Rattus norvegicus: one gene and its partners. The protein of the gene in region 3 interacts with the protein of the main gene of each other region in a pairwise test. Links are inferred from orthologs where the notes say so. Each region holds a gene or a part of one and is shown on either strand. Other genes may lie near its edges. The genes, in order: Syt16, Snx15, Rtn4, Rtn3, Spg21 and Cert1.

Region 1 (3,500 bases), on a different chromosome or scaffold from region 3:
GAGGTCTTCCCAAGGAAAGTGGGAGAAACCCACCCAATGGGCCTGAAAAGACCTTGTGATACTAGTTTATTCTGCAAATTCTTACCCCTCCATATAAAACTGTTTTCTTCCCAAACTCTGATCCCTGTGATCTAGTCGAGTTATCCTGGGCCCTTGTCTGGTCTTGTCGGGATAACCATTATGAAGTGTAAGGAATAAATACGTTCTTCAAGTACTGCAGCCTACGCTTACAATCTGTCAAAATGTAGCGCTGTGGGGGAAGCTATGTGGCTCTGACAGCATGCATCCGTCCGTCACTAGCTAGCACTCTTCCCAAAGACAGGACAGAAGTCAACAAGAAAATAGAAAAATTTAAAAGGAAATGGCTGGGACCTTGCTCGGAGAAACTGTAATGGTGAGCACAGGGTTAAGGGTGGATTCCTTCCCACCTCATCACTTCCAGGTAAAAGACACCGAGATTCAGATCTCAGAGCTGGGAATAAAGACAATTAAAGTGGCTGCATAACTGTGTGCGAGCCACTCATAAGCAAAGCCTCATGCCCAAACCCATGCTAGGCCGGTGCTGGGGACTAAACGATGTGCCCACAGACAAGAATTCACTCATACATTTTGTTGCACATGTAAGAAATATCAGTGCTGGGTCCTTTAAATGACCCAAGGATTCAGTGTTACTCCACACCAAATGACAATATTCCTTCACTCAGAAGATTTCACATGTTCACTCGCGAAAGTCAATCAAATTAGTATTTATTGAGATCCACTGTATGCATCTTTCTATGTTCTATTAGTAAGGTACATAGCATAAAGACAAATGTGGTTGGCATGCAGAAGTACATTAAAAAAATACATGTGAGAGTTAGTACAATTATCTATAGAAAAGGTCTAATCCAAATGAATGACAGGTTCTGAAACATCAAGAAAGCCAAGGCTTAAATTATCTCCTAGGTTTTCCTCTTCTTCTCTGGGTACCAATTTGATAAGAAAGCACAAAAATCCTTGACTTTGGAAATCTTAAATATTCAAAAAGAGACAGGTCAGATAACAGTCATTTTTTTTAACTGCTTTAGAGCTTTAAGATGATTTGTCTACCCCAATTCTTTTAGAAATCGTGATATCTAATTGAGATAAAAAGAGACATTTCATGAATACAAATTTATTTTACACCACAAATTTATAGCAATTACCTTTTAAATAAACAGGGCTTTTTTTTTCCATAAAGAGAATAGGGGTGGCAGAGGACTGTGGTGGGTTACGTCCTTCCGTAACGCTCAGCATCTGATTCATTTCTGTTTTGGAATTTTGAACACTGAGAAGAGTCTGATTCATACACCTCAGTGATGGAAAACAGTAATGTTTACAGCTCCTTTGAAATCTCAGGCTATTCTCCCAGCAAAAAGAGACAGCAGGAGGAAGCTGAACCACATAGTACGAACCAAAACACAATCATCCATTAGCACAAGTTGTGATATAGCCAGTGGTCTCAACTAGATACCATTGCCCATACTGTGTATGTAGGTTTCCTTTCACGACAACATTTAAACTCAGATCGAACCTTTGAGATGGTTCCACACCACGGAATGACCCAAGATTAGTAAAATTCTCCATTTGAAAGCTCCTCCACCTGCCATGATCTGACTTGGTGTTAGGTAAGCAAGGCTGACGTAGCACGGGAACGCTGTTGATAAACCTAGGATTCCAACAGCGTATGCCACCTGCAGATCTGCTGGCTTTTGCTGTCCTTCATTTCGTCCCAGTGCTCCTGCTCCTCCTCCCCACTGCTGTTCTGGCCCAGAGCAATCCAGCCAATCATCTCTTTACGCTTCATTGTGCGTCTGCTATAAATGGAAATCATCAAGGTAACATCCGAGAGCTGGAAGAGGGCCACCTGGAAGACGAAGGTCTCTTTATAGACGGGGTTGGGCTGGCCACGCCGAATGGACGTCTTGCAGCGGGACATCTCTTGACCCACACAGTTGAGGAGGAAGAGTTTTCCATATGTATCTACAGGAAAAGCAGACAAGAGAAGGATGAGAAACTATCAGGGCTTTGCAATAAGTTGTAATCTTTACATTGACTTCAAATTTCTCCACTGGTCTTTGCTGCTGAACCACCACATCTCACATAGGTTATTAAGGAAAATTCACTGTCTTACGTCTGTTGTTTCGTACAGCTCACCGTCTGGCACACTGCTGAAGTTCATTAGAACCTCTCTTTGTACTGAGTATGCATGGAGTTGCCCAGGCACATGTGCCATAAGAGCCGTGTGAACTCAGAGAAAGTCATGATTTGTGTATCGGGTATGCATTCTTTTCTCCATGTGTGGGACATTCTTCTACAGTCAAATTATTGTTTTATGTCTTGGCTGAAGTGTATCTTCTTTTCTTAGTCACCATGTAGTCTACCCATTCTCCAGACCATCTCATGTTGGAACTCTGGCCACAAGCTTCATGCACTCTGCCAGTATCCTGATATCCCAGAGGCCAAGCACCTCCCCTAACGTCTCCCATCACAGTTGGATTTGTACAATACTTTCTCCAGAATCCCTGCTGACTCCATCTCCACTAGCACCTTGTTTGACCCTACCCCAGCATGGGTCATCACTGTGCGGTTTCTTGTCTGCAAGCTGCCAGTCCCTCAAAGGAAAAGAGAAGGAAGGGTTGCCTCACTTGGCCCAGAACCCCCATGCCTGGCCTAGTACCTGATGGGGGTGGGGAGAAGGCTAGACTTTCAACAACAATTTTATGATGAATATTCATCACCAGACAGAGAGTTAAACCTTTTTTTTTCTTTTGATCTTCTCTTATTTTCAAACAAGAAACTCAAGCAAAACCACCCATTTTAAGACCCCTAAACTAAAATACTATGAAGTACTGACTAATTTCTACTTTTAGTTGCCAAAAGGAAAAGAAAGCATCCAAATTTTATTAACTTCATCTCCTTTGGCTAAAATTTCTGAATAACTCGTTGCAAAGAAAATTATCCCCACAAATATATGTTATTAAAATCACTTCATTGATAATTTTTGGACTTATAACAGAAAGCTTTGCTTCTAACTTAGATGCATGATACTGTTAAAAAAAAATTGAATCAAATGTTTAGGTGTTGTCTAAGTTGCCTCAGTCTGTATTCTGTGTTCAGTGCAGGCAGAAGCCTTGTGCTTGCAGCTCGCTTCCCCAGCTAACCAGCAGTCAAACTTTTCAAAAGCGTAAACCCAGATCTCTGTAATTTCCTCTCAGAGCATTGTGAGGTAGGAAGCGAATTACAACCTAGGGCTCTCTTTGTACGTTGATCTTTTTTCTATTCCGGGTTGATGTGTTATTTTATGCACTTATCTGCTGAGAAACACAAGGTGTGAGATTGCACTTCAGGTGTGAAAACACTTCTCTGTCTCAGAAACAGGGCTCTCCACTCCTCAAACTGTTCCAGGGAAAAGCTGTCAACAGACCCACAATGGGAATGAGCCTGCGAGTCTGCGAGTCTGCAGCTGTACAGCAACAACC
Region 2 (3,927 bases), on a different chromosome or scaffold from region 3:
CAACCTTTTGTAATTCCAGCTGCAGGGCATCAGATCTGTTGTACCTTCCTCTGACCTCCACAGGCATACAAGCACAGTTGTGATACACACAAACAAATGGGGGGGGGGCACTACAGTGATGATTCAGCAGTTAGAAGCACTCACTGCTGTGGCTGAGGACCCAGGTTTGGTTCTCGGCATGCAGATGGCAGATAGAAATAATTTCTAAAAAAGTCCAATCCCAGGCAATTCAATGTTTTTCTAACCTCCGAGCCTATGAGGCTTGTATTGGTGCATATACATAAGTACAGACAAAACATTCATTAAAATAAAAGTAAATAAATCTGGACTAGATTGATGACTCAGAGGTTAAGAACACTGGCTGCTTTCTAGAGGACAGAAGTTCTATTCCCAGCACCAACAGGAAGGCACACAGTGGCCTATAATTCCAATCCATAGGGATCTACCGCCCTCTGCTGGCCTCCTTGGGTATTGCATGGATAGCGCACTGATACATGCAGATAAAACATGCATGTTTGGTTTTTTTTTTTTTTTTTTGGTTCTTTTTTTTCGGAGCTGGGGACTGAACCCAGGGCCTTGCGCTTCCTAGGCAAGCGCTCTACCACTGAGCTAAATCCCCAACCCCTCTTTGTTTTGTTTTTGTTGTTGTTGTTGTTTTTTCTTTTCTTTTTTTCAGAGCTGGGGACCGAACCCAGGGCTTGCACTTGCTAGGCAAGCGCTCTACCACTGAGCTAAATTCCCAACCCCTTGTTTTGTTTTGTTTTGTTTTTCTTTTTTTTTTTTTTTCGGAGCTGGGGACCGAACCCAGGGCCTTGCGCATGCTAGGCAAGTGCTCTACCACTGAGCTAAATCCCCAACCCCTGTTTTTTTTTTTTTTTAAACCAACTACATTTTAATTTTTAAGTAAATAAGCCAGGTGGGGTGGCACACACTTTTAATCCCTAGGGAGGCTGCACTGGGGAGGTAGAGGCAGGTGGAGCTCTGTGAGTTCGAGTTTGATCTATAGCACAAGTTCCAGGACAACCAGGGCTAACAGAAAAACCATGTCTCGGAAAAAAAGAAAACAAAATTAAGTAAATAAATCTATAAAGTAAAAGGATCATCCCATTGGATGCTGTGTCAGGTGAGAGAGAGAGAGAAAGAGAGAGAAAGAGAGAGAGAGAGAGAGAGAGAGAGAGAGAGAGAGAAGAAAAAGAGGAGGAGGAGGAGGAGGAAGAAGAAGAGGAGGAGGAAGAGGAGGAAGAGAAGAAGAAGAAGAAGAAGAAGAAGAAGAAGAAGAAGAAGAAGAAGAAGAAGAAGAAGAAGAAGAAGAAGAAGAAGAAGAAAAGAAAGAAGCACTTCTAGTATGTGGGAGGCCCTGAGTTCAACCCTAGCACTGAAAAAAAGGAAAAACTGTAAGCATGTGTAAGGCATGTGACTAGGTCTAAAATGCTCACAGGAAGACATATAAGAAAGGGTTATGAATGTTTTTTCATCCTTTCTACCCTCTGGCCATCTTCCTAGAGACAATTACTATATTTGTATTTTTTTGGCATTGGAAAAAAGCAAGGCATTGGGCATACCCACACTCTTGAGGTATCTAAAATTCTGGCTTACATTGATTTGGGAGCGATTTTTACGTGTTTGCTTCCTTTTAACAGTTGACAAGAGCACTAATCAAACAGTTGCCTAGTTGAAAAAAATTTAAGTATAAGAAAACGTATAGTCAGCCTTCAGGCAGCAACCCGATTTCTTCTGCTGTAGACCCTCCATAGTTACGCACCCATGGGTAAAATTCTAAAAGCATTCTTTCCTGCTGATGTTTCTACAAGCTCATTTTAAGTTTTATTGTTAGACACCAATTCCACCTTGACTTCCTTATCTGTGAAGAGCAGTCTTTTTGAATTACGTTTTTAAAACCACACAAATATTGTATACTGTATATATAATAAATGTATAAAATACATTATATATATATATATATATTTTTTCTTTTCTTTTTTTCGGAGCTGGGGACCGAACCCAGGCCTTGCGCTTGCTATACCACTGAGCTAAATCCCCAACCCCTATATATAAATTTTTTAAAGAGCTTTTTTAGTCGGACATGATGGTGCAAGCCTTTAATCCCAGCACTCAGGCAGCAGTTGCAGGCGGGTCTCGGTGACTTCAGGACCAGTCTAGTTTACATAGTGAGTTCAGGACAGCCAGGGTTGTCTCAGAAAAAGAAAAAAATAAATAAATAAAAAGGCGGGTGTGTGTGTGTGTGTGTTTACGTATCAAGCAGGAAAAATTACCAAAAGTTACTCTAAGAGATTAAAGAGGAATATTGAGTTAATCCGGAATTTTTTTTCTTTGAGAAATTCGTAGACCGCATCTAGACACCATCATCAACAGGGCGGGGGGGGGGGGGGGTGCCTGGCTGGGCGCAGAGCACTGCTCCGGAGTTTAAAAATGACCCTTAGCCCCGCCCCAGGCGGTGAGGCTCCTTAAGTCTTCTGCCTCAGACTCCTCTTAAAGGGGAAATCCATTTGTGTAGGCCAAACCGCGACCTCCCCGGAGCTCCTTACCTTTAAGGTACAGCACGGGTCCCGAACTGCTTAAAAGGGTAATGTTCCCCGCTGGGTCCCACCTCACCTGAGCAGTTACTTTGTACTCGGTGTAACCCTTGGGGTGGGTCCTGGGGTCCGAAACTGTGTAGTGTCGCAGGAAGTCATCCTTCTTCGCCCGGCGCGACATGACAGCGGAGCTGGCCGCCGGCTCCTCCTACTGCACGTCGCCCCCGCTCCGCGTGTTGAGCCTGCTGCCACCGCCAGGATCCGGCCTGCGCCCTTCTTCAGGCCTAGGGACCAGTCACAAGTGACACAGCCGTTCTTGGCTTGGGGGCGTGGCTAAGGGAGTGTCTGACAAGTTCTAGGTCATTGGTAAAGCGGAGTTGTAGGTAGAGATTAAGGATTGGTTGTTTAGGAGAGGATTTACCAGCTGGCATTGTGGCATGTGATTAAGCTCACCTTACAGACCTCCAAAACGTCTCCCTTATTCTCTTATTTATGAATTATTTTGAGCTATGGTCTCTGCTGTGTGGATCAATTTCTGGGCTTAAAATATCCTACCGAAGCCTCCTGAGTATCTGGAATTTAAGGTGCTTGGCATAGGGCCTAACCCATGCAATTTTCATTGTGTTCAAAATGTGCCTGGCAGAGCCAAGTTAAGTTCCCTGCATCTCTGTGCCAGAATAGCTGGGGAACTGACATATTCTGATGCTGAAAATGCTGAACAGTGACAGAGTCTCTGAAATCACAACACTTGCAGCTATTTGAATTCCCCTTAACTGCTTCAGATTTGGGGAGGTGGGAGATTGAGAGGATCTCATGTAGCCCAGGTTGGCCTCAGACTCACTATTGTAGTTGAGGCTAGCCTTGAATTTTTGATCCTTCATTTTCCACCTCCCAAATGCTGAGGTCACAGATAAGCATCACATTTCCCTCCCATGACTGCATGCACCTGGTTTATTCCTCTATGGAAAGGAGTACTTGTCGTTGTATCTTCTGTAACAGATTAGATCAAGAGGCATGCTGGCAGAACACAAGTATGGTGAAAACCCAACACTAGGGCAAGGCCAAATTGCTGAGGAAGGTGTATCAACAGTGTTATTCCTAAACATAGATTCCAGCACATTCCCCCACCACCAGAAATCCCATCTTCAAATGAAAAAAGTGAAAAAAAGAACCATTAAAAAATTTGAGGAAATCTGGCTGTGGTGGTGAATCATGTTTTTAGGTGGATCTCTGTTTTGAGGGGAAAAAACAAAAACCAACCAACCAAAAAGACCCCAAACCATTTGTTATGGTTTGCATATGCTTGGACCAGAGAGTAGCACTATTAGAAGATTTGGCTCTGTTGGAGTAGGTGTGTCACTGTGGGTGTGGGCTTAGAGACCCTCATTCTATT
Region 3 (3,500 bases):
AGCACATAGAAACTGAAGCACAGAAAGTTTACTAAGTTGCCTGGTGTCCAAGTACAGCAATACAGGTTTCATTGTTTCTTCTAGGGACCAGAGATTATAATAATTATAATAAGTATGCTTTGTTATATAGTATATAATATACATAACACATATACTCATGTACACTCATGAATAGTTTGACAAGATTATAAAGTTTTCTTTCACTTCTAAAGCTTATGATATCACACAGCTCACTGACATGTTCAAGAGAAGCACAAAGTTGGTCTAAATTGTACTCAATACTCATAGTCAGTACTTTCGGTAATGACAAAAATGCTGGATACTTTGAGGGGCAGAGTTCTATATAAAACATTGACGATAATATATTTATTATACAGATAGGTTCTTTTCTGTCTTCTGCTTACGCTTCATGGTGCAAATGGAGTGTACCCAACGACCATTCTGTGCACTTTAACTCCCTGCTTTCCTTCACACCTGCAGGTAATACATCCCTTTCCTCCTTTCCAAAGAGAACTCCTGCACTGCTAGACCTTCTAATGCAAAGCTGCTGTGTCTGGCAACTGCTGTGGCCTACTTAGGAGGTGACAACACAGTACCACGTACCGCATCTATGGTGACCTGAAATTATGGGCATGAGTATTTTGCTTCTGTGTATGCTTAGTGCCCATAGAGGGGTTCAGATCCCGGGGAACTGGAGTTATACAGTTGTTAGCTGTCACAGGGGTCCTGGGAATTGAACTCAGATCCTCTGCAAGACCTTTTAACCACTGAGCCATCTTCCCACCCCCTATGGTGATTATTTAGGTATATGAAACAACAGTGCTAAAGAGTAAAGCTTGTAAGCGCCTCCATTAACTAAAGCTAGAATTGGAAAATTTCCACAAAACCACATAATAAACATTTTGCCGTTAATGCCCCCAAGGGTCTCTCATATAATTTTTTGTTTATTTATTGCTATAAATGGAAGCCACCACTCTTAGATCCCAGGCTGTGAACTTTCCCTACCAACTGGTTTCAATAGAAAATAAGTAAATGCACTTAGAAACATGAATGGTCTCCCTGACAATGGCTGGGGGAGAGAGTGAAGGAGAAGTATGAACTTTCCCCTTTGTCAAGGAAAGGACTAGCTTCCCTCTATTCAGCTGGGAACCCAGAGACCCACACCCAGGCAAGCTTAGGACAGTAACTGAGGGCAGGGTAGACAGAGCCAAAGACTAGGTCAGAGAGAAGGTGGACAAGAGTCCAGGACCCAACCCCCTCTAGGTGACATAACCACAAGGGAGGGGCTGAGGATTCTGCAGACAGGACATCTCCATAGCAGAGACTGAAAGCAGGAAGCTACTCTCATCTAAGAGTCCTCTGAGATCCAGGGCGTGGCAGAGCTGAAGAAGGAACAGCAGACGGCAAACCAGCACAACACTCTGCCCTGTGAAGACCACGCCAAGCAGACTCCAGTGTCACACCACAGTTACACTCATTTGGCAGAAGCTTACACCTCAGCACTCTGTTGGGCCTCCATGGGTTAGATTCACTGTTGGTGGACACAGCAAACTGAAAAACCTTCACTGCTTGAACTGTGCCTTGCCTCCTTCACTGCTAGTTCCCTACTCTTGATCTAAAGAAAATAATTTCCATGTACTCAGACACCTAACAAAAAAACAACTGAATGCTTACTATGAGTAGGTTTTGAACTCAAGGTATTCAAACACTAGTAAGCACATTTACCGCAGGTTAGGTTAAGGAGATCTCTTGGGTGCCTACAACCACCAATTCTACAAAGAGCAACACTCTAATATCCAAGTAAGAAAATGTCAGGCAATCATATTGCTAATCTTTCTGATATGTGTGTGTGTGTGTGTGTGTGTGTGTGTGTATATATATATATATATATATATATATATATATATATATATATGAAAGGTAAAATAAACTTACCTTCAGGGAATCAACTAAATCATCAACTAAGAAAAGCCGCCTCAGTTCTTTTATTGTGCTGTTCACATGACCAAGAGCAGAATTACTGTATTTCTGAACCAATTCCTCTGATATAGCAACTTCAGATTCTAAATATGCCCTAAAAAAAAAAAAAAAAAAAAAAACAGACCACAACTGACACTGATTCCCACATGTTAATCAGCAATTGCATATCAATAAAAGGAGATTAATATTCTATAACAATCTACTATAAAAGGCCTACTGTAATTATAAAAGTCCAAAGTACACTGGCTGTGCTTGCTGGCTCATGCTTATAATCCCAGCACTTAAGAGGCTAAGACAAAAGGATCGTTACTAGCTCAAAACCAACCTGCGCTACAGAAATATCTCAAACAAAATAAAACAAAGCCAAAATTCCCAAGCTAAGAAGTGTGCTTTAAAGGCATTTTAAATCTTAACTGCTATCATTTTCTTAGTAATCTAAATTTGCAAACTTAATCTTCTAAAGTTGCTTCCTCATTTAAAATGGATGTAATGAGGATTTAATGAGTAAAATGTTTAACAACCACTCTGTCTAAAAATCTCTCAGAAAATTATTTTCTGAGTCTTAATTAGGTTCTGCTACCAAAATTCCTACTCATTTCCATATTCTCTTTATGGAAAAAGTCAGAAATGTTAAATACTAGCATGTAAAATAGCTGCTAAAAGTATAGTACCAATACCAATAAGGGTATTTACTCTCTATTTTCATGTTCTCATGAAAATAAACACTGTAGTGTGCAGGAAGTGTTAAATTTAAGAAGATAATAATTCAGGGATGATCATTTGATTATTACCATGCCTAAACTAATCCTATTTTCTCACACTGTGTCCTTGGAGAAAACCCTGTCTCATACTCCTACCTTTGCAGTATGCCCAAGTGTGTCTTCAATCACTGTTGTTAAGTCTCTATTATTATTTGCACACTGAGATACTCTTATCAGTGTGCAAGCCTGTTTCTAATCTAGCTAATCTATTCCCTTCATCAACACCAGATTAGCCTATCTGAGCTTCCTAAAATAGCAGAGTCTGGGTTGAGCTCAGGTGGGTATTAGAAGATGGCTATTTTCTAGCTAAATAATCTTTCAAAACAGCATTTCAATTCTCTGGGTCAAGTTTCCGACTCCATGAAGAATCATGCCCAGTTCAAGCACTGTGTTACTCTGATTCCAACAGAGAGCACATCTAATTTTGCTCACCTTTCCACTGCTCCCTATATTAAAGCTGGAAATAAGTCATGCATCATGTTTTAACCTTAATGCCTTGGTCATCATGCTATTTTCCTAAAGCATAGGTCACTTCTTCCTCTGGTGACAACTTATACATGAACTAGCCTCACCTCAGACCCCACCCAGACATGAAGACTCATCAGCTATGAATCCTAAGTTCCCACTATAATCTACCACTCTTTTATACTCCCAAACAATGTTTTTTTCTACATTATTATATTGAATACAGACAGAATAGTTTTCCCACTTAAGCAAAAACTATTTAGAACATTTCTTTTCAATAGTGTAAGATACTGG
Region 4 (3,500 bases), on a different chromosome or scaffold from region 3:
CCCATAGCCTTAACAGGTCTGACATTGTTCAGAAGTCAAGTCCTGAGCCACCTCGGAAGCTCAAGGAGACTCTTACTGTGATGCACTGTGTGATTGGGTTAAAATGGCCAGTAGCCAGGAGATTCGATAGCAGGCTGAGCTTTTCAATACTCCAGAACATCAGGCAATTTGCATCTCTTTGTTGAATCAAAAAAACATCTGCTGCCTTTCTAAATCAAGAACAACTTGAGTCAAGCTGCTTACTTTTCTTTCTCAGGTTATGAGGACTATGACAAGGGATCTATAGAGCCAGTATGTTCTGAATTGTTCAGCTTACAAAGGAAGGCATAGCAGCATGTCATAAGCATAAGCAAGCTGTTTTGTATAGATTACATTGCTCCTATTGAATAAGAACCCCCTCAAAAGAAAAGAAAAACTCCCCAAATCTCTCAGTATCATCACCCCTTTATTATGCAGGGAGGGAAAAGTAAACCAATTAAAAAATATTTGTCCTGAATATGTTTTGTCATTCACAATTTATAGCATGATACTGGCTTTTGTTTTATTGTTGGCAGTTTTATGCATGTTTTGTAAGACAACCATTGATCTTTGCTCTGTTATATACTTGTGTGTTTATGCATCTGTTTATATACATGCTGTTATGTGTGCGCGCGCGTGTGTTCATATGATTTTTAAAAATAAAAAGCATGCTGCTTGGCCTGACTAGCTAATGTGTGTACTTGCACCTGGTAAATGATCTTTTTCCTTTCAAATTCTGACCATAGTGGGATTGAGCTCTCTTTGCTCTGATGAGCCACCATCAAAAATTATGACTTCCTCCTTTCTTTCATCTTCTGAAATATATAACCCTGACCCTACAACACCACTTGGAAGTGAAACATTAGGCAGCCATCTTGTAGCTAAAGACGGAAAAGATCCCTTGGTTCTTCTAGATAAGAAAACTCTGGACTCACCTCAGGGGACCAACAAGGACAGAGTAGACACTCCGGTTTCTCTTGCAGCTGACATTCCTTGCAGCCACCCTTCTATTCCAGACAGTTTCCCAGAACAACCTACTTTTCTTTCAAAGGAAACTGATCCAACAGAAGAGTGGGTAGTTAAAAACCAAGAACCCAAGAACCCAAGTGAAGTTCCAAGTGGAGAGGACAGAAGTGCACTGGATCTTGGGCAGCGTAAGGCAGAACACATTTGTACACATTCCTTGTCTCCATCTGAACCTGCAGTAGCCAGTGTAGAAAAAGATTCTCCTGAGTCACCATTTGAAGTAATTATTGACAAAGCAACATTTGACAGAGAATTTAAAGATTTGTATAAGGAAAGCACAGATGATTTGGGTGGCTGGGCAGCTCACGGTGACAGAGAATCCCCAGCAGATTTATTGGAAATGAATGACAAAGTGTTTCCACTGAGAAATAAAGAGGCAGGGCGTTACCCATCCTCTGCACTGCTCGGTAGACAATTCTCACACACTACAGCAGCACTGGAAGAAGTGTCTAGATGTGTGAATGATATGCATAACTTTACTAATGAAATACTGACTTGGGACTTAGATCCCCAAGCAAAACAACAGGCGGACAAATCACCTTGCACCACAGAAAGTACAGGACTAGACAGGAGTGAACATCGCTCAGAAATTCCAGTTATAAATCTTAAAACAAGCCCTCAACAGAAAATGCCTGTATGTTCTTTTAATGGGAGCACTCCCATTACTAGATCCACAGGTGACTGGACAGAAACATTTACAGAAGGAAAACCTGTAAAAGGCTACCTCAGCTCCACAAAAGAAGCTGGTGGCAAAGGTGTACCAGACAGTTCTCAGCCTATCTCAGGCTCTGGAGCAGCCACAGTGGAAGTGACTTTACCTGACCTGAGGGGTACCTGGCCTAACTCTGTGCTAGGGGAAGTCACAGAGGTTGATAGTTCTGGGGAATCTGATGACACAGTAATAGAGGACACCACAGAAAATCCCTCAGTTAAGAACAACAAAGTTTTGCCAGAAAAATCTGACTCCCTTCCAAGTGCTGCTGTAAAAACAAGTGAAAGGGAAAACAAAGAGACTACCAGTCATGAAACTGTGAGGAGTGAAATGTATGAAAACTCTGAGCAGCAGCAGGCCCATGCAGAAACTCCTACTCAGAGGAGTCTGGAAGGTCAGATGTCTCCACAAGTACCTAATATGCTGAATGAAGTCATACCTGAAAATCTTGCTATGACTGACACAACCAGAGTTTGCTCAGCAGCACCTCCAAGTGTTCTTAGTGAGACTGGATTCTCACTAACTGTGCCAGCTTCTGCCAAGTCAGAATCTTTGCTTGGAAAAAATGTTGAAGATACAGATGGTTCCTCTCCAGAGGACTTGATGGCTGCCCTCACAGGAACTGAGGAGAAGGGGACAGTGGATAAAGAGAAAGGTGATGTTTTGGAAGCAGTGTTAGAGAAGATAGCAAACGTTAAAAACACTTTGCCTGTGGAACTCTTGCATGAAAATAAGCTAAGTAGTTCTGAAACCAAAAATACTAAAAGCAAATACAGTGAACACAGCAGAGAAACAAATGGAGGTGCCCCCAAGGTGTCTTCCGACTTAGAGCAGGAGCAGCTCACCATTAGAGCCATTAAAGAATTAGGGGCTAAGCAGGTGCAGGCTGAAAGAATGTCTCCTGGAGGAAAACTCAAGCGAACCTTTGATCCACAGTCTGGGCCACAGAATTCATCTGACATCCTAGAACACACAGATATCACAACTGGATCTGATCTTGGGATTCCCAAAAAGCCTACTATCATCAAAGACACTAGAATAGATTCTATTTCCAGCCTTACCAAGACTGAAACAGTTAACAAGCATGTTCTAGCAAGACTTCTCAGTGATTTCCCAGGTAACCATTTACAACAGAAATTCTGCATGTGGCTAATACTGCTGTGATTATAAAGTTTCTGTTCTATTTTGAAGTCCTTTCTTTATAAGTAGTCTGAGTATGGCTATTGCCTTTTAAGAATATCACCACATGCTTATTTACCATTTTTGTGATTTTGCTGCTGTTTGTTTTGAGATAAGTTTGCCTCAAGCTGGCCTGGAACTCTCTATCTTGCCCAGGCTATTGTTGAGCTCATAGTACTCCTGCTTCAGCCTCTGAAGTGCTGAGATTACAGGCCCAGTCTGTATTCTTACTTATTTTCAAAGTTCAGTTTTTTAAATAGGGGACTTGTAAATTTTAATTAGTTATCAAAGATAAAAGAATTCCTGCCGGGAAACTCAGTAAATGTAACTTTTAATTAATTTGCTGTATTCCACAGAGGGTTTATGCTTTGAAAGTAGGTGATCATTATGACAGTGCTCTTTTGGAGTAATACTTCAGAGAGACTCATTCATTCTCATACTTCAGACCTACTGAACAGTCTGCGGACAACAGGACATTCAACAGTACCAGAATCTTTTTTATTTGGAATGGTCTCTTTCCTAGCAGATAGCTTGCAGTAAAATGGTTTTGAATGCTGTTTATCTT
Region 5 (4,041 bases), on a different chromosome or scaffold from region 3:
ATCTCCCAGCTTCTCAAATACCCCACCTTATCTCTTGAAAGTATACACAGAAACGCTATCGAATCAAAACAGCTTCATGGTCATCCAGGGAAGGAAGGTGTGTGGAAAGTGAGGGCTATACAGAGTCTGGAAGGTTTCTATGTTGGATGAAGAGCTGGAGACAGGTTATTATTTTCTCCATTAAATACATTAAAATGTATTCTCCATATGTATAAAAACATCTCTATCAGGTGATCTTTCAGGCTAACATCTGTCATCCTAGCACTTGGGAGAGGGAGGCAGGAGGATAAGGAGCTCTAGGCTAGCCTTGGCTCATAATGAGTTCAAGGCCAGCCTATCCTAAATAAGACTCTAACAAGCCCCATTTGTGGGAAGATGAAAAGTGTGTGGCAGTCAGCAGGTAACAGCCAGCTGTGCCTCACTAGAGCAATGGAGCAGCTCACCTCACATCGCACTGGCCAGCAGCCCAGAGGGGCAGCAACACTCAACACAGGAGCCGCTGGCTGAAATTCAATTTTTATTCCAAATGTAATGTCTAGAAATACAACAGCTAATACTCAAAATGGTGTGCTCAACTGGAAACTAAAAGAGCTGATGTGTAGGGAGTGGCCAGCAAGCTGCCAGCCTCGATACTCTGGTTATGCTCAAGAAAACATAAAAATGACCGTGTTCCTCTTCCAACCCGGAGGTGCAGCAGTCTTACAAAGCAGGAAAAGAAAAATGTCACATGACCGACCCCAAGCCTTCGAGATGAACACAGTGTGGAGAAGACTTTTGGTAGCAAAATTTTCACAATTCTTAAAATGGGAGTCTTTAAAAGTTCTTCAAATTCAAAAGTTTAAAGCAAAAATAAACGTGGAGAGGGGACAGTCACACTGGCCTAGAAGGGCTGACGCCTGTCATGAGATTGACAATCAGTCCTACTTCCAGAAGAGTGAGAACCAGTGTGCCCGATGGACCTGAACTGATTGTGCAGGAGCAGGGTGGCTCGCTGTTGGGCCCTTCTATGGCTCCTCCTGGCTGAGGTCGAGCTGGCCCTTCTGCACGTCCAGCTCCTCTGCACTGACCACCGACGGGTCGATGGCAGCGTACTTGGTTCCATGGAACTGCAGCAAATGTATCTGGAAAGAGCAGATGGCTTTGGTTATTAGGGCTTTGTTTTATGGTGCTGGGATTGAAGCAAGGCTTCAGAGTTCCATACAAGGGCTCCACCACCGTGCGGCCCCCATCCCAGTGCTGAATCTTTCTGAAATCACAGAGGCCAGAGAGCAGCACTGGTGTCACTCCTTAGGGCTCCTGCCCCCTTCAGTGAGTACTGTCTTCTTGTTCACCAGAACAGGGCATCGGGTCCCTGTTACTGATGGTTGTGAGCCCCCTTAGGGCTCCTTTAAGAAGTCACAACTTACTTGGCGTGTGTATGTGTGGAAGACAGAGAGGCTGTGGAGCTAACTGTGTCCTCTGAAGTGTCCTGCACTGAACTGATTGTCGGCTTTGGTGGCAGTTCTTTCACTCGCTGAGCCATCATGGCCCTCCACCTGGCCTTGGAGACAGTCTCTCAGTGGCATCAAGCTTGGCAAGTGGGATAGGCTGGCAGGCTAGCCGGCCCCAGGGTCTGCCTGTCTGTCCCTCCCCGGGTTATGCCATCACACCCGCTTTGGATGGTGTGAACTGAGGTCAGGCCTTCCTCGTCACATAGCAAACAAACACTTTACCACTGAAGAATACCCAGCACCTTCATTTGTCAACGACTGTCACAGAGCAGAAGGTGTAGTGTGCCAGTAACAAGCATGGTGGGAGAATTTACACTAGAGAAAAGCCAGCAAAGAAACAACATGGGTCTCACTATGTAGCTCAGACTGGCCTTGAACTTAGAGCAATCCCGTGTCAGCTCAAAGTGCTATGATTGTAAGTGTTCACCACTGTGCTGACCAAAGAATCGCTGGGACCATTGCCCTCAAACTGTTGTGTCAAAGCAGCTTCTCTTGCCAAGTGTTCATGGACACTGCCCTCCACCCACATTAACTCCCATGTTTGTGCATATGTGCATTTGAGGGCGCATGTGTGTGGGCTCGTGTGTGGGCTCGTGTGTATGTGCGTGTAGAGACCCACGGTTGATCACTCTTCATCTTAATCATCGAGGAAGGCAGGTATCAATCAAATCCAGAGCTCTCTAACATGGTCAATCCTTTGTTTAAAAATGTAGAGGGCTGGAGAGATGACTCAGAGGCTAAGAGCACTGACTGCTCTTCCAGAGGTCCTGAGTTCAATTCCCAGCAACCAAAAAATGTGTAGAGGAGATTTGCCTACACACATAGGCCTATGCATCATATGCATATAATGTGCACTTGGAGGCCAGAAGAAGATGCTGGATCCCCTGGATCTAGAATTTCATTTTGAGCTGCCAAGTGGGAGCTGGGAACTGAACCTAGGTCTCTGGAAGAGCAGCCCGTGCTCTTAGCTGTTGAGCCATCTCTCCAGCCCCCTGATAGTCAGCTTGCTCTCGGGAGTCCTCGGAGTCCACCTTCCCAGCCTAGAGGCTCAGCAGGCATTTATGTGACTCTGGGCGTCTGAACTACAGTTCTCATTCTTGCACAGCCCCATCTTTGCAGCCCTTCATAAACCTTTTTTTCTTTTCTTAAAAGTTCTTTGCATGTTTTGCTCACGTGTGCCTGGTGCCTGTAGAGGTTGAAGGTGCCGGATCTCTTGGAATTGGGGTTACAGGTGGTAGTAAGCCATCATGTGCGTGTTGGGAATCAAACCTAATCCTGTGCACAGAAGCACCTGCTCTTAATCACGAAGCCATCTGGCCAGCCCTTCATACACATCTTTTTTTTTTTTTTTTCCTTCGGAGCTGGGGACCGAACCCAGGGCTTTGCGCTTCCTAGGTAAGCGCTCTACCAACCCCCTTCATACACATCTTAAACAGCCCAATGACGCTCCAACTGTGGACATTCAGTGCGGTCTTTCCAGTCTTCGCTACTGTGGCTAACGGCATGATGGGCGTCTCTGGGCATCGGTTTCTCTATGGTTAGGACTGCCTCCTTAGAATCTACTTCTGCAGTAGTGGAGAGCCTTAAAGATGAGGCTCGCTCACTGGGAAGGCGCCTGATGCTTCTCGCCAGATTATCAAGGCAGCCACTTGTCACCCCATCTAGTAATCTCTTGAGAAAATGAGGTGTTTTACTTTTGCCATTAGTGTGCAATCAGATCAAGAAGTCATTTTCTGAGACTTGGAGGGCTCCATTTGGATGTGGTGTCTTGCTCTGGCTGCATTCCCTGTCTCCAGGAGGCAAGGGCCACCATACTAAGGGCCACTTGCACCACAGTGTGTGATGCAGGGCTGATCTAGTGGAGCACCGTTAAGGAGCACTAGGGGTCTCTAAAGCTCACATGTTCTGGGCCCAGGCTGGACTTACCTGCACATAAAGATTGACCTCTGCACTCCTGCACAGATAGGGGAAATTGCCTCCTGTCTTAAGGTGAGCTCTCCGGGCATTAGGGTACAGTTTGTACATTTCTTCCTTGGCTTCCATTGACAGTGCACTCTGGTCAAACACCTTTGAAGACACACAAGGCTGAAATCTCAGGCATTCTTAGTTCAGTACAAAAGTGTCACCCCATGTTCCTGAGTGCCAGAAATTGCCTCCTACTGCTGTTCCTGGTCATGTCCAACTCCAATCAGAGAGGCTGGGCGTGCAGCTGTGTGGTACAATGCTTGCCTAGCATGTGCAAGCCCCCCCCCCCATCCCCATCTGGAAAGTAAAATTCTAATTCCAACTCCTTAAGACCTCAGCTGTAGATCTGTTGCCAAATGTCTCTTGCCTCTCATATGTAGCCAGTTAATGAAATATTAATAGTAAGTAATCACAAGAATGCCAACTTCAAAAACAATGAAATCCTGGTCTAGAGAGATGGCTTGGAGCTAAGAGCACTGGCTGCTCTTCTGGAGGACTCTGGTTAGGGTCCCAGCACCCACAGGGCAGCCCACAACTGCCTGTAACTCTAGTTCTAGGGGAATCAACGCCCTCATCTGGCCCCATG
Region 6 (3,955 bases), on a different chromosome or scaffold from region 3:
AGTACATCTCAGGGTTACTGCCTATCATTACGTAGAGTGTAGGACTCTTCTATTGCTCCCAGAGTTTTTTGTTTGTTTCATAATCATTGTGCCTTAACACCCGAAACACTCAAAATTTCCTCTTACTTTCCCATCTGGGTAGCAAGCAGAAATTCTTTTTTACAATTTAATAAGGAAATTCAAAGTTGTAAATTATCAGTAATTTGATAGCTATCTATTGTCTAATTCCTTATTATTTAGTAAAACTCGCGTTTTGATCTTAATGATAGAAAGTTTCTATTCAAACTTTCCTGTCTTTCGGGAAGGAAGAAGATGGTTAACTCAGGGTCTCCGGGGGAGATACTTGCTTACAACTAAGAGAAAACTTCAGGATATAATAATATCCTTATATCTGCTTTTAAAAAGTTCTTTAAACGTCATTTGTTCTCTGACAATCTCAACATTATTTTCCACAAGATAAAAATTCTATAAATTAACAAAGCGAAAATAGCCTGAAGGAATTCTTCCTTTGACAGCAGTAAACCTCAAGTATTAAATCTATTTCCGAAGACACAGACAGTAGTCCTTCGGAATTAGCAGTGACGGTTTTAGAGAGGAAAAAAAAATCTTCAGTTTGCGATTGGAGAGATCATAAACTCCTAACCTGAGTAAAGCGACTGAGCCTCTATCATTTTTTGACCAGGCAAGTTGCAAAGATGTTCCCGGGCTTTCCGGAAAGCAGCGTCTCACCACCCAACATCCTCACCTGAGGGTTCTCACGTCCCGATTCGCAGGCTCGTCATAAACACGCAAGGCAGAATCGGAAGCCAGGCTGGACCGAAGGGGCACACAACTGTCAAAAGAAGCCCACTTGCTCTCAGAAGGTTCCCCTAGGCAACCAGTCTTTCGCGCGCCCAGGACACACACACTAGTTGCCTAGGATTGCGACTACAACTCCCAGGAGGCTGCGCGGCGGACAGAGCGCCGGCCTTCCCAGAATGCAGCGCAGCAGTTTCCCTGTTCAGCTCTCTCCTTTCCCCGCTCCGCCTCCTTCCCTACCCGTCGTCACTCGGGAGGGCCGGAGGTAGGGAGCGTCGAGAGCCACCGGGAGGGGCCCGGGGCGGGGTGGAGGGAGGATGGGAGGACGGAGGGGAGGGAGCTGAGAGAGGAGGGAGGGTAAATAGTGGACCCGGCAGGAAGATGGCGGCTGTAGCGGAGGTGTGAGTGGATCTGGGTCTCTGCTGTTGGCTTGGCTCTTCCCGTCTTCCTCCCCCTCCTCCCTCCCTGACTGAGGTTGGCATCTAGGGGGCCGAGTTCAGGTGGCGGCGCCGGGCGCAGCGCAGGGGTCACGGCCACGGCGGCTGACGGCTGGAAGGGCAGGCTTTCTTCGCCGCTCGTCCTCCTTCCCTGGTCCGCTCGGTGTCAGGCGCGGCGGCGGCGGCGCAGCGGGCGCGCTTCGTCCCTCTTCCTGTTCCCTCACTCCCCGGAGCGGGCACTCTTGGCTGTGCCATCCCCCGACCCTTCACCCCAGGGACTAGGCGCCTGCACTGGCGCAGCTCGCGGAGCGGGGGCCGGTCTCCTGCTCGGCTGTCGCGTCTCCATGTCGGATAACCAGAGCTGGAACTCGTCGGGCTCGGAGGAGGATCCGGAGACAGAGTCCGGGCCGCCTGTGGAGCGCTGCGGAGTCCTCAGCAAGGTGAGCAGCCCGTGGGGCCACGGATCCACTGCCTGGACTCACCTGCCGCGAGACGAGGGGAGCTGCTCGGGACCTGGGGTGGGGCTGGACCGGGAGGCACGGACTGTCCCGGGGCGGGGGCTGCGGAATGTGCTGGGGTGCGGGGCCGAAAGGTCGTTTTGGAATGAGTGCCTCGCCAGGGATGGGATAGGAGGTGCTTGGGACTGTCCTTACTCCTAGACCCCCTAATCTCTGGATCTTGTCAGCTTTGGTCGAGGACCTTGGAAAGCTTGTGTTAAATCTACGATCTAGTTTGGAAGGCAAGGTGCATCTGGTAACTTGGAACCTAAGGCCGCAGCTGTCTGGGGTGTAGGAATCTGGGTTGGGCAGGCGTGGTGTCTGAAGAAGTACTGGACACGGGGACAGTTAAATCGACCTTTAAAACTATCTTTTGGAGCCCCCCCCCCACACACACACCAGAATGGGGGGAGGGGTGTTCAGCTCTAATGGGTGTAATTTAGGCAAACCAGTTGATTGGCTTTGGCCTTGAAATCTGAGATCGTAAACTTCGAGGTGTGAGTGATCTTTGGTGTAGAAAGTGTGTGCGGCACTTCTGTACTTTGCCCCTCCTTGTCCAAGTTCAGAAAGGAGCTATTGAATTGGCACGCTGTGGATAAGAAATATTAATAGTAAGTTGAAACGTGTCAGAGTGAAGACCGACCTTTAGTTCAGGAAAAGGAGCATTTTTTTTTTTTTTTTAGTAATTCAGTATTTGTGCAGAAAAGAAAGACATTTTTTGTTGTTTTGTTTTATTTTCCCTCTGTACTTTTAAAAACTCTTCAATTTTCTTTCTTCTTTTCTTTCTTTTTTTTTTAAAGCCTAGAGTGCATTTATAGGGTTGAAAATGAGTGATCTTGTTAATATTTCACAGTGTGTTGTATTTTACGTTTTTGTTGTGGGGAGACCCAGTTAGTCTTTTTGACTTCCCTGTCCTTTTCTGTTAAACTTTAAGAAATGCTTAGAGCAAGCAGTTAGTTTCCAGAGGGAGAGTCGGGGCTGGTCCCTTAGCAAGCTGGTCATAAGATACCAAGTCATGTGCTAATGGCCATTAAGAAATCATTGTACTTCTAATATTCTTGAACATCACTTCTGGAATTGTCTGAAATTTAGGCTATTACATAGTCTTTAGCTGAAAGGGCCTGGGATAGACTTAAGAATACAAGGCTTCCAAGTGTTAACTTATTTACATAGTAGAAAATTATGTTGTATTAAATACTGTGATTATTTTTGAAATTTTAATGTAATGCTTTAAGTAAAGTGAAGCTCTCCAGTGTTTATTTAGATTTAATGCATCTTTATAATTTAAGACTCTGTATTGAACATGATGTGTACTACGTTTGCATTTTCAAATGGGTTCTTTGTCTCTCTTGATTGTGATAGTTTCCTTGTCTTCAGATGAGAGCCAGAATGCCATATTAGTATTTTGTTCAAGAATTTTATGGAGCAAACTTTACTTTTGACTTGTCTGTTTCTTTGAGACAGGGTTACTCTGTCGAGCCATAGCTGTCCTAGAACTCACTTTGTAGATCAGTCTAGCCTTGAGCTTACATAGATCCACCTGCCTCTGCCTCTGCCTCTCCCTCTCGCCTCTCTGCTTCTCTGCCTCTCTGCCTCTCTGCCTCTCTGCCTCTCTGCCTCTCTGCCTCTCTGCCTCTCTGCCTCTCTGCCTCTCTGCCTCTCTGCCTCTCTGCCTCTCTGCCTCTCTGCCCCTCTGCCTCTCCTCTGCTTCTCTGCCTCTCTGCCTCTCTGCTTCTCTACCTCTCTGCCTCCCTAGTGCTGGGATTAAAAGTGTGGGCTCCTGATGCCTGCCTTACTTTTGACTTGCTGATCATCACTGTTTGGATGTTGAAGAATTGGAATGGTGAAAAAAATCATATGCTCTGTTATCTGTTGTACAGAGCAGGGTGTGACATATAGTGTGACTCTGAACCTGGGACACGGCAGAGTTGGGTTCACTTAATCCTAGCACCCAGGATGCTGAAACAGGAGGATTGTGAGTAACCAACCTACCTATCTAGTAAAGCCTTTGTCTCCCAAAATCATTTTTGAAAGAAGGATTCTATTTGGCTATGCCCGTGAATTTTGACTATTCTGTATATATACAACCAACAGTAGTAAAATCTTACCAATGGTTGTAAAGAAAAATGTCCTGAAATTTATGGGAGGCAGAAGCAAGTGGATATCTGAATTCCAGGCCAGCGTGTGTATGTGTGTGTGTGTGTGTGTGTGTGTGTGTGAGAG

What was found.
Region 1: the proteins of Rtn4 (region 3) and Syt16 interact in binary tests that used the Homo sapiens proteins (3 or more experiments, as listed by UniProt). The link is inferred for Rattus norvegicus from reciprocal best matches to the Homo sapiens genes RTN4 and SYT16.
Region 2: the proteins of Rtn4 (region 3) and Snx15 interact in binary tests that used the Homo sapiens proteins (3 or more experiments, as listed by UniProt). The two-hybrid records come from large-scale screens. The link is inferred for Rattus norvegicus from reciprocal best matches to the Homo sapiens genes RTN4 and SNX15.
Region 4: the proteins of Rtn4 (region 3) and Rtn3 interact in binary tests that used the Homo sapiens proteins (3 or more experiments, as listed by UniProt). The link is inferred for Rattus norvegicus from reciprocal best matches to the Homo sapiens genes RTN4 and RTN3.
Region 5: the proteins of Rtn4 (region 3) and Spg21 interact in a two-hybrid assay, tested with the Homo sapiens proteins (2 studies listed by BioGRID and IntAct). The two-hybrid records come from large-scale screens. The link is inferred for Rattus norvegicus from reciprocal best matches to the Homo sapiens genes RTN4 and SPG21.
Region 6: the proteins of Rtn4 (region 3) and Cert1 interact in binary tests that used the Homo sapiens proteins (3 or more experiments, as listed by UniProt). The link is inferred for Rattus norvegicus from reciprocal best matches to the Homo sapiens genes RTN4 and CERT1.

The regions. Positions count from the first base shown.
Region 1 is NC_086024.1:98,705,167-98,708,666, reverse strand, and holds part of Syt16 (synaptotagmin-16), read right to left. Parts: intron 2,002-3,500; coding exon 1,688-2,001; 3' UTR 1-1,687. UniProt on the Homo sapiens protein: May be involved in the trafficking and exocytosis of secretory vesicles in non-neuronal tissues. Is Ca(2+)-independent.
Region 2 is NC_086019.1:212,852,651-212,856,577, forward strand, and holds the start of Snx15 (sorting nexin-15), read right to left. Parts: upstream 2,801-3,927; 5' UTR 2,716-2,800; coding exon 2,614-2,715; exon of another isoform or gene 1-2,613. UniProt on the Homo sapiens protein: May be involved in several stages of intracellular trafficking. Overexpression of SNX15 disrupts the normal trafficking of proteins from the plasma membrane to recycling endosomes or the TGN.
Region 3 is NC_086032.1:107,692,617-107,696,116, reverse strand, and holds part of Rtn4 (reticulon-4), read right to left. Parts: intron 2,075-3,500; coding exon 1,936-2,074; intron 1,883-1,935; exon of another isoform or gene 481-1,882; intron 1-480. UniProt on the Homo sapiens protein: Required to induce the formation and stabilization of endoplasmic reticulum (ER) tubules. They regulate membrane morphogenesis in the ER by promoting tubular ER production.
Region 4 is NC_086019.1:214,070,861-214,074,360, reverse strand, and holds part of Rtn3 (reticulon-3), read left to right. Parts: intron 1-764; coding exon 765-2,873; intron 2,874-3,500. UniProt on the Homo sapiens protein: May be involved in membrane trafficking in the early secretory pathway. Inhibits BACE1 activity and amyloid precursor protein processing. May induce caspase-8 cascade and apoptosis.
Region 5 is NC_086026.1:74,900,136-74,904,176, reverse strand, and holds the end of Spg21 (maspardin), read right to left. Parts: intron 3,558-4,041; coding exon 3,417-3,557; intron 1,122-3,416; coding exon 1,005-1,121; 3' UTR 501-1,004; downstream 1-500. UniProt on the Homo sapiens protein: May play a role as a negative regulatory factor in CD4-dependent T-cell activation.
Region 6 is NC_086020.1:29,616,047-29,620,001, forward strand, and holds the start of Cert1 (ceramide transfer protein), read left to right. Parts: upstream 1-1,155; 5' UTR 1,156-1,579; coding exon 1,580-1,675; intron 1,676-3,955. UniProt on the Homo sapiens protein: Shelters ceramides and diacylglycerol lipids inside its START domain and mediates the intracellular trafficking of ceramides and diacylglycerol lipids in a non-vesicular manner.